Linked DNA regions of Oryctolagus cuniculus. The protein of the gene in region 1 purifies or fractionates together with the protein of each later gene. This does not show direct contact. Links are inferred from orthologs where the notes say so. Each region holds a gene or a part of one and is shown on either strand. Other genes may lie near its edges.

Evidence for each region. Proteins that work in one complex are often made in the same cells at the same time.
Region 2: the proteins of POLR3D (region 1) and POLR1D purify together in Homo sapiens (affinity purification with mass spectrometry; 6 studies listed by BioGRID and IntAct, counting the BioPlex papers as one, with this or other methods). This does not show direct contact. The link is inferred for Oryctolagus cuniculus from reciprocal best matches to the Homo sapiens genes POLR3D and POLR1D.

Annotation. Positions count from the first base shown.
Region 1 is NC_091439.1:1,074,974-1,079,270, reverse strand, and holds the end of POLR3D (DNA-directed RNA polymerase III subunit RPC4), read left to right. Parts: intron 1-49; coding exon 50-201; intron 202-309; coding exon 310-434; intron 435-534; coding exon 535-703; intron 704-1,028; coding exon 1,029-1,294; intron 1,295-2,792; coding exon 2,793-2,945; intron 2,946-3,053; coding exon 3,054-3,176; 3' UTR 3,177-3,748; downstream 3,749-4,297. UniProt on the Homo sapiens protein: DNA-dependent RNA polymerase catalyzes the transcription of DNA into RNA using the four ribonucleoside triphosphates as substrates.
Region 2 is NC_091440.1:86,895,479-86,899,611, forward strand, and holds the start of POLR1D (protein POLR1D), read right to left. Parts: upstream 2,819-4,133; 5' UTR 2,666-2,818; coding exon 2,640-2,665; intron 1-2,639.

The sequences.
Region 1 (4,297 bases):
CGTGGCAAAGGCAGGCCAAGTGGTCCCCAGCATCCCCCGTCTCTTGCAGGCCCAAGGAGGAGGTCACAGTGAAGAAGGAGAAGCGGGAGAGGGACCGAGAGCGGCAGCGGGAGTGGCATGGGCGGGGCCGGGGCCGCCCGGAAGTCATCCAGTCCCACTCCATCTTTGAGCAAGGCCCCGCTGAGATGATGAAGAAGAAAGGTACAAGGAAGGGGTCAGGAATGGAGGCGGGGCCAGAGCCACGGAGGCAGGCCGGAGCCACGGAGCGCCCGCTGCCGGCTAGCTGCTGAACAGGGTGGTTTCCCGCAGGGAGCTGGGATAAGACCGTGGATGTGTCGGATATGGGTCCCTCTCACATCATCAACATCAAGAAGGAGAAGAGGGAGACGGACGAGGAGACCAAGCAGATCCTGCGCATGCTGGAGAAAGACGACGTGGGTGCCGGGGCGGGGAGGGGGTTCGCTATTGCGGGGGCTGCCGGGGTGGGAGGAGCGAGGGGCAGCGGCCCGTGACCCCGCAGCTCTGCCTTGGCAGTTCATCGATGACCCTGGGCTGCGGAACGACACCCGGAACATGCCTGTGCAGCTGCCGCTGGCGCACTCGGGCTGGCTGTTTAAGGAGGAGAGCGAGGATCAGGATGTGAAGCCTTGGCTGGCCGGCCCCAAGGAGGAGGACATGGAGGTGGACGTGCCCTCTGTGAAAGGTATTCCGGTATCCCTCAGGCCAGGCCTGAGCTGCTCCTGGGTAGGCCCTGCCCCGTTCCACCTGTCGTATGTGTGAGCTGGACACCCGTACTATAAATATATTACTGTATACAAACCCTCTCGGAGGATTCCCGCGTTGACCTGCCCGGGGGCCACGCCTCCGACAACCCTGCCTAGCTCTTAGAGCTGCGCGTGCTCTCTCTCGCCCCTCACCGTTGTCAGTCTCCCCGTGGCTCCTCGCTGAGCGGTAGTGGGGTGGACAGGGCAATAGGTGGCATGGAGGCGCCCACTTCGTATCTCCTCTGTGTTTGTTACCCTGGGCAGTAAAAGAGGAGCCACGAGACGACGAGGAGGAGGCTAAGATGAAGGCTCCTCCCAGAGCGGCTAGGAGGACGCCAGGCCTCCCGAAAGACGTGTCTGTGGCAGAGCTGCTGAGGGAGCTGAGCCTCACCAAGGAGGAAGAACTGCTGTTCCTCCAGCTGCCGGACACGCTCCCCGGCCAGCCGCCCACCCAGGACGTCAAGCCCATCAAGACAGAGGTGCAGGGCGAGGACGGGCAGATGGTGGTCATCAAACAGGAGAAGGACCGGGTAGGCGTCCCGGGGAGCCCTGGGGGAGCCCGAGGTGGTGGGGTGAAGGCGTGCAGGTGCAGGCATGCACTCTCAGCACCTGCCAGAGCCTGGGCTTTGCACTGCCAGCCCCAAATCCGTGTACGTGCGCCTGCTTCCTAGAATGAACAGTTTCAAACATGCAGGCGTACTTGGAAAAATCCGTGGAAAGTGCACATTATGAAAAGCTGCACGGCTTTCAGGCTGTTTTGCACCACAGGAAGCCTCATTTTCCAGAGGGTTTTTTTTTTTTTTTTTTTTTTTTTAATTTATTTTATTTAGCTGAATGGCAGAGTTTTAGAGAGAGAGAGAGATCGAGATCTTCCATCTGCTGGTTCACTCCTCCAATGGCTGTGATGGTCAGGGCTGGGCCAGGCTGGAGTCATAAACTTCCTGCGGGTCTCCCACATGGGTGCAGGGGCCCAAGGGCTTGGGCCATCTTCTGCTGCTTTCCCAGGCCACAGCAGAGAGCTGGATCAGAAGTGGAGTAGCCGGGACTAGAACCAGCGCCCATGTGGGATGCCGTGGTTTCACCCACTGCACCGGAGCGCCAGCCTCTGCAGTCATTTTTACATCTTTTACAAGGGCAGAGACTCCTGTGTCCCATCCCTTAGCTGCAGCTGTTGTTGGTTTGTTTTAAAGATTTATTTATCTGAGAGAGTTGCAGAGAGAGAGAGAGAGAGAGAGAGAGAGATCTTTAGTCTGCTGGTTCATTCCCTAGGTGGCCACAGTGGCCACGGTTTGGCCTTGCTGAAGCCAGGAACTCCATCCAGGTCCCCATGTGGATGGCAGGGACCCAAGCACTTGGGCCACCTTCTACTGCTTTCCCGGGCCATTGGCAGGGAGCTGGATTGGAAGTGGAGCAGCCGGGACTTAAACTGGCGCCCCATGGGATGCCAGCATTGCAGGCAGCGGCTTTATGTACTATGCTACAGTGCCAGCCCCAGCTGTTGATGTTTTATACATTTGTTTTCTCTGTGTTTTGGCCATTTTTTTTTTTTATTTTTAAAGGTTTACTTATTTATTTGAAAAAATTAGAAGGAGACAGACAGAGATCGATCTTCTGTCTGTTGGTTCACTCCCCAGATGGCTGCAATGGCCTGGCCTGCGTTGGGCCAGGCCAAAGCCAGGAGCCAGGAAATTCATCTGGGTCTCCCATGTGAGTGCAGGGGCATAAGCACTTGGTCCGTCTTCCACTGCTTTCCCAGGGAGCTGGATTGGCAGTGGAGCAGCCAGGACTCAAACCGGCGCCCATATGGGATGCCAGCACCACATGCTGTGGCTTTACCCACTACGCCACAGTGCCGACCCCAGGTTTTGTCTTTTAACCGATGGCAGATTGCCCTTGGAAAAGGCCCTCTCTGGGGGCCTTACCCTGGTCTGGGCTGCCAGTGCCTTCCCCTGGGAGATTGGGGTTTGTTCCTGAAGGGTGGAGGAGAGAGCTCCTTGCCCAGTCTGCACCCCCTTCCTCTCTCCACAGGAAGCCAGGCAGGCAGAGAACACGTGTGCCCTGGCTGACCTCACGGAGGGGCAGGTTGGCAAATTGCTCATCCGCAGATCAGGGAAGGTGCAGCTCCTCCTGGGCAAGGTGACTCTGGACGTGACCATGGGGACCGCCTGCTCTTTCCTGCAGGTGAGCACCCTGTGCCGCAGGGAGAGGCGGGCAGGGCTCGAGCCCCGAGGAACGGGAGCCGCTGGCCAGGGACAGCTGGGGGTTCTCACCCCGTCTGTCGCTTGGCAGGAGCTGGTGTCCGTGGGCCTTGGAGACAGCAGGACGGGGGATCTGACGGTCCTGGGCCACGTGAAGCACAAGCTCGTCTGCTCCCCTGACTTCGAGTCCCTCTTGGATCACAAGCACCGCTGAGCAGCAGATGGAGGAAGCTGCGCCTGCCCACGGCTGCTGCCTGCCGCAGGCGTTTTGTTCTGGAGTCTGTGGCCCAGAGGGGGCTGTGTGGCCTGCCCACTCGGGCCTCTGGCAGCTGGCGCCCCACTTGCACCCCGGGGCCCCCGGGCTCCCTCCCGCAGTGTGGATGTGGCATATCCTTGCTGCTGGGGCCTAGTCCTTGCTATTTATTTTTGTATTTATATCTTAGCATCTGCAGCCAGCTGCGTCCCCGGTGAGGGTGTGGGGGAAGTACAGGCCCCTCCTCTCGATGCCTGCAGGGCCGGGGGAGGAGGGTGTGGAAAGGCCTGGCCTTTGCCCGTGCGCCCTCCCCCACGAGGCCGTGTGGGCGAGAGCAGAGGTGGAGTGTGGATGAGAGGACTCGTCCATTCCTAACCTTTCTGAACCTCACGTTCCTCATCGGACGGAAGTGGGGCTAGCACCTGCCTCGCGGGGTTGGCGTGAGGATCGAATGGAGCTCTCTAGGTGGCAGCTCCTTGCACACAGCCAGACGTGTACCTGGTGGGCGCTCAATAAATGTTTGTTTCCTCTTCCTTGCCTGAGTCTGTGTTTGTGCAACGTAGAGCTTGCCTGTCCCTCCAGTGACTAGAACCGCACACTCCCCACTTTTGTGCCTTCACTGTTTCTTTTAAAAATTTTTGCTTGTTTATGAGACAGACAGAGCTCCATCCGCTGTGTCACTCCCCAAATGCCCACAGCAGCTGGAGCTGAGCCGTGACCGCAGTCTGGGTCTCCCGCGCGTGTGGCAGGAACCTAATCACTTGAGCCATCCTGCCGCCTCTACCTCTCAGGGTGTGCGTTAGCAGGACGCGGAGTCAGGAGCCAGAGCCGGGGCCTGGACCTGGGCCCTGCGGTGCGGGATGCGAGGGTCTGGGCTGCTAGGCCGAACGCCTGCCCCTCTCTTCATCTTCCTCACCCTGGGTCCTGGCCCTTTTCCTGGTTACTCTTAGCCAAGTGCTTCCTGTGTGTTACCGGGCGAAGATGGCGTTGGAAGAATGGGAAGAAGTCCGGTTTCTCCCCACACCCTACACCTTGGGTGGGCCTAGGATTCATTCCCTGCAGGACCTAAGTAGCCATTTTCC
Region 2 (4,133 bases), on another chromosome or scaffold:
GTTTCCCAGACCACTAGTTTTCTGCTTCAGGGCCTCTGTACATGCTATTCCCTCACAATGTTAATTTCCATCATGAGAGCCTTCTCTTCCTGTAATCTTGGGAAGAGCTTCCCTGACTTCCATACCTAAAGCAAAATTCTCTCTCATGCTTTCTATCTTGATATTGTATTTTCTTCCCCAGAATTACAACTTTTTAAAAATATTGTTTCTCTTATGCAACACTTATTGTGTCTCACTATTATACCTATCCCCAAGGTACAAACCAGAAGCTCTATAAATAAATATCTTTAAAGAGGCTCTAGGGCAGCTCAACTAAGAGTTACTGAAAAGCTAACATGCCATAACTACCTACAGGGATTCATCTCATATTTACTAAGTGTCCACCTGCTGTCCAGTGTTGTGCTAGGTCCCAGGATCACACGAATAAATAGGATCAACTAAGGCCCCAAAGCACAGTGCATTGGGATATGGGAGTGCTCAGGCTCTAGGGTTGACAGGTATTTAGGATAATTGAAGAAGGAAGTTCTGGTATGACTGGTATGAAAGATGTTGAAGATGTAGACAGATACAATGGCTCTTGGATGTGATTTCACTAATATTTCAAGTTTTCCAAGTCATTTTCTCCACATGGTATTTTCCCTCTGTGTCCTTTCTCTCAAATAGTGTTTCTTCTATATGACCCTAGGCTACAGTTGGATACCTACTTAGACTAAAAATGTAATTTGCTCATTCCAGGTTTCTCCTCAGGCAGTAAACAATTATTCTATAGATGGTACAAAGATGGAGCTGGATAACTCCTGAGACCCTCATGTGAAACCAGAATTCTCAAAATTCTTTCAAATTATTCCCTAACCTTACCCAATCCCCTAAGAGAAAAGGATACAACTTTCTCATCAGTAAAATATCTAAGAAGCCAAGTCCACATCCTGACCTTCTTTCTTTTTGAAACCCACCAGTCTATCTGCGTAATGGTCTATTCCATCTCCTCTTTGCCTCACCACCCCAATCCTAGTCAGGAATGTATACTCCTTTTGATTCCCATGATGAAACCACTATTTTGGGTGCCTGATGCTCTGTTTTATCACTTTAAATGTTGGCTCTACTGCAAGCAAATAAAGTCATCCTTGAGGATGTTGCAAGGAACAGAAACCACTCAAAAATAGTTTCAATAAAAGAGGGAATTTATTAGGAGAATACACAGGTTCTTGCGGGGATTCCAACAGCTGTGATGAATGGGTCAACAGCTAGAACCATTTTTTTTTTTTTTTTTTGGAAAGATAGAGCAGGTTGTTGTAATCACAAACTTCTAATTCTGGGTTCTGCACAATCATGAAGAAGAGTATCCCAGAGATTAGTCCTCCTTGTATCCTGCACAAGGGACTAGAATGTGGATTCACTTCTGCTTGCTTTTTGATCCTTATAGTGCTTTATGCTGGCCTCAAACTTGTCAAGCACATGTTGGCAGACATTCATGAGCTCATTCAGCCCTCTCTGAAATGGCTCAACAGCTGGAAGAGCACCTCGAGTCTGAATGCGCAAATTAATTTTGCTCTCTGAAGGATGGGTCGTAGTGTAACCACAAAATTCCACTTCCGGGTTCTTCATAATCATGTAACGCAGAGAATTTCCTAGGGTATGGTCCTCCTCGTGCAAAACAAATGTCACACAGTGTCTATCTGTTCCAGCTGCCTGGACCATTTCCAGGGCTGTCTTCCTCTCGCCTTCGGCCATTGAGGTCTTCAATCCAGACATTTTTCTACACACATATTTTTTATAAAAGTGAGATCATACTGAATATTGTAACTAGCTTTTTTTTTCATTTACTATATCACAATTGCCACACATCATTACTCTAATCCACAGCAATTACACACAGAACTGTCAGCCTCTCTCTTTTCTGCCTCCACCACTTCTACCAATGAATATTTAATTTGCTGACTCCAGTTTCTCCCTGCTCCATTAACTATCCACGTGGGCCACACGGAGCATCTTCTTAGAAAAACATACACTTAAGTGTCTGCAAAGACATTTCTTTTGGAAGAGTCACAAGAAAGGGATATAGCATAGGGTGAGCCCTGCTGGAAGAGGAAAAGGGAGTTGAAGGTGTAGAAAAACACAAGATTGCTCCAGCATATAAACAGAGACTACAGATTATCAATGTGCAGGCCCAACTATGGCTTCCACTTGCAAGAGGTAAGGAAGCTAGGAAACGGTAAGAGCTGAAACAGTACAGCGGGAGGGAGAAACAGAACTCAGCGCTTTGAGGCAGGGCTACACGGCTAACAGTCTGCACGGAGGAGGAGGGAGAGCGGTAGTGACGGGGGGGCTTAAGCCGGACTGAATACGCCGCTGTTCTAACGGGGTTGGGCAGTTTCGGGACCCAACTCTGCTCTGCCAACTGGTCCGCCCTCCTCGAGAACTACTGTCCCTCGGAGCGCCTCTATTCAAACACATCCACGACTCCTCCCTTCTCCTCCCCGTCGGGCCCTGTTCCCTCTCTCAGCGTCCCGGGTCGGGCCCCTGCTGCTCTGCAGGGCCGCGGAGGTTAGGCCCGGGCCGGGCCGCGTGCCCGGTACCGCCCGCTCCCCTGCCTGGGCGCGGCCTACTCCGCCCGCCCCGCCCGCCTTCTCGGCCGTTACCTCTCCAGCTCTTGGTCGTCCTCCATCGCGGGTGCCGGTTCCAGGATCCTCAGGTGGTGCTGGCCGATCGGAGGCTCTGCCCCATGCCGCGAGCTGAGCGGCTGAGGCAGGAAGGAAGGAACGACGGACGGAAGAAGGCGGCGACGGAAGGAGGGAGGAGGAGCCGCAGCGGCGCGGCAGGGTCCGGGCGCTGGGCGGGACGTGGAGGCTCCGCCCCCGGCCCCGCCCCCGGCGCGAGGAGGGCGGTGGCGCCGGGCCCGAGCCGCTCACCTGGCGCGCCCCCAGCCTGGCGGCGTGCGGGGCGAGCCGGGAGGAGGGCGGCGGAGGGCCCGCTGGCGTCGCACCCGGAGGCCCCGGTCACAGTGCGTGCGCCCGAGCTCCACCTTTGGTACCGTCTCCCCAACTGGTGGCGAAGGGGGCAGGGCCTTACCTGCCGCCCCCACATCACCTCCCTTCTTGGGACCCAAGTCCGGCCTGCTAGACTCGACTGGAACCCTGTGGCCTCCCGGGAATCCAACCTCTTGTGGGACCGCAGGCTTGGGCTATACCGTCCTTAAATAGGAGGGGCTGAGTCTCGTTAACAGAACGTGGTGCTTCAAGACAGTACTCAGTGGGGTTCTTGCAGCTAAGCATCTCCCCCGGGACACAGGACAAGCGTTTACCGTTTTCCTTAGGGGAGAAGTGGGAGTTTGGGAGCACACTCACCCACCCCGTCCTTTCCTTCCCCCGGCCATGCACCTCCCTTCCACCCTTTTCTTTACCCCTTCTGCACCCCACCCCCGGGGAACCTCCCTCTCATCTTTGTTCCCAGGCGTCCCCTACCCCGCTTCGGCAGCCTTTCCTCGGCGGGGTTCCCTCTCCGGCCCCTTCCTCTCTGGGAGTGTTCAGTGCTGCTCCCCGCTGCTCACCCCCGGCTCCCGCAACCTCTCTAACGCCGGCCAGCCCCGGTCGCTGCCCTCTACCCCGGCTGTCCTCTCGCCCAGCACACCTACACGCCTGCTCTCCCGCGCCACCTGTTCCCCTCGACCTCCCCCCACCCCGCTCCGTGCGTCCCCTGCTCAGCTGTCCCGCTGTCCCCGCGGCTGCCCGGCGCTCGCTCACACACTTGCCGAGCGCCTTCCACAGAGGAATCAGGCGAGCGGCGGGGACAGCCCCAGGCGGGTGGGGGAGGGCGAGGGGCGAGGGACGGAGTAGGTTCACTCTAACCTAGGAATGACGGCCCCTCCTGGTCCGCCCCCTGCGTTCTCTGATAGGTGGATCCGCCTCTGATCCGCCCCCTCCCCGCCCTGTGGCGCCGCCGATTGGCCCAGCAGCGTGTCGGGTTGGGCCGCTCAGCCCGGCGCTCGCCCCCGGGAAGGCAGCAGGGGCGGTTGAGAAGTGAAGTCTTGGCCAGAGTTTGCTTCTTGCCGGGAAACCCGCGACTGCGGCGGCGGCGATTCCCGGAGGAGCGGAGCCTGGCCGACTCCCGGCTCCCTCGGCGGGCCGCGGAGAGCG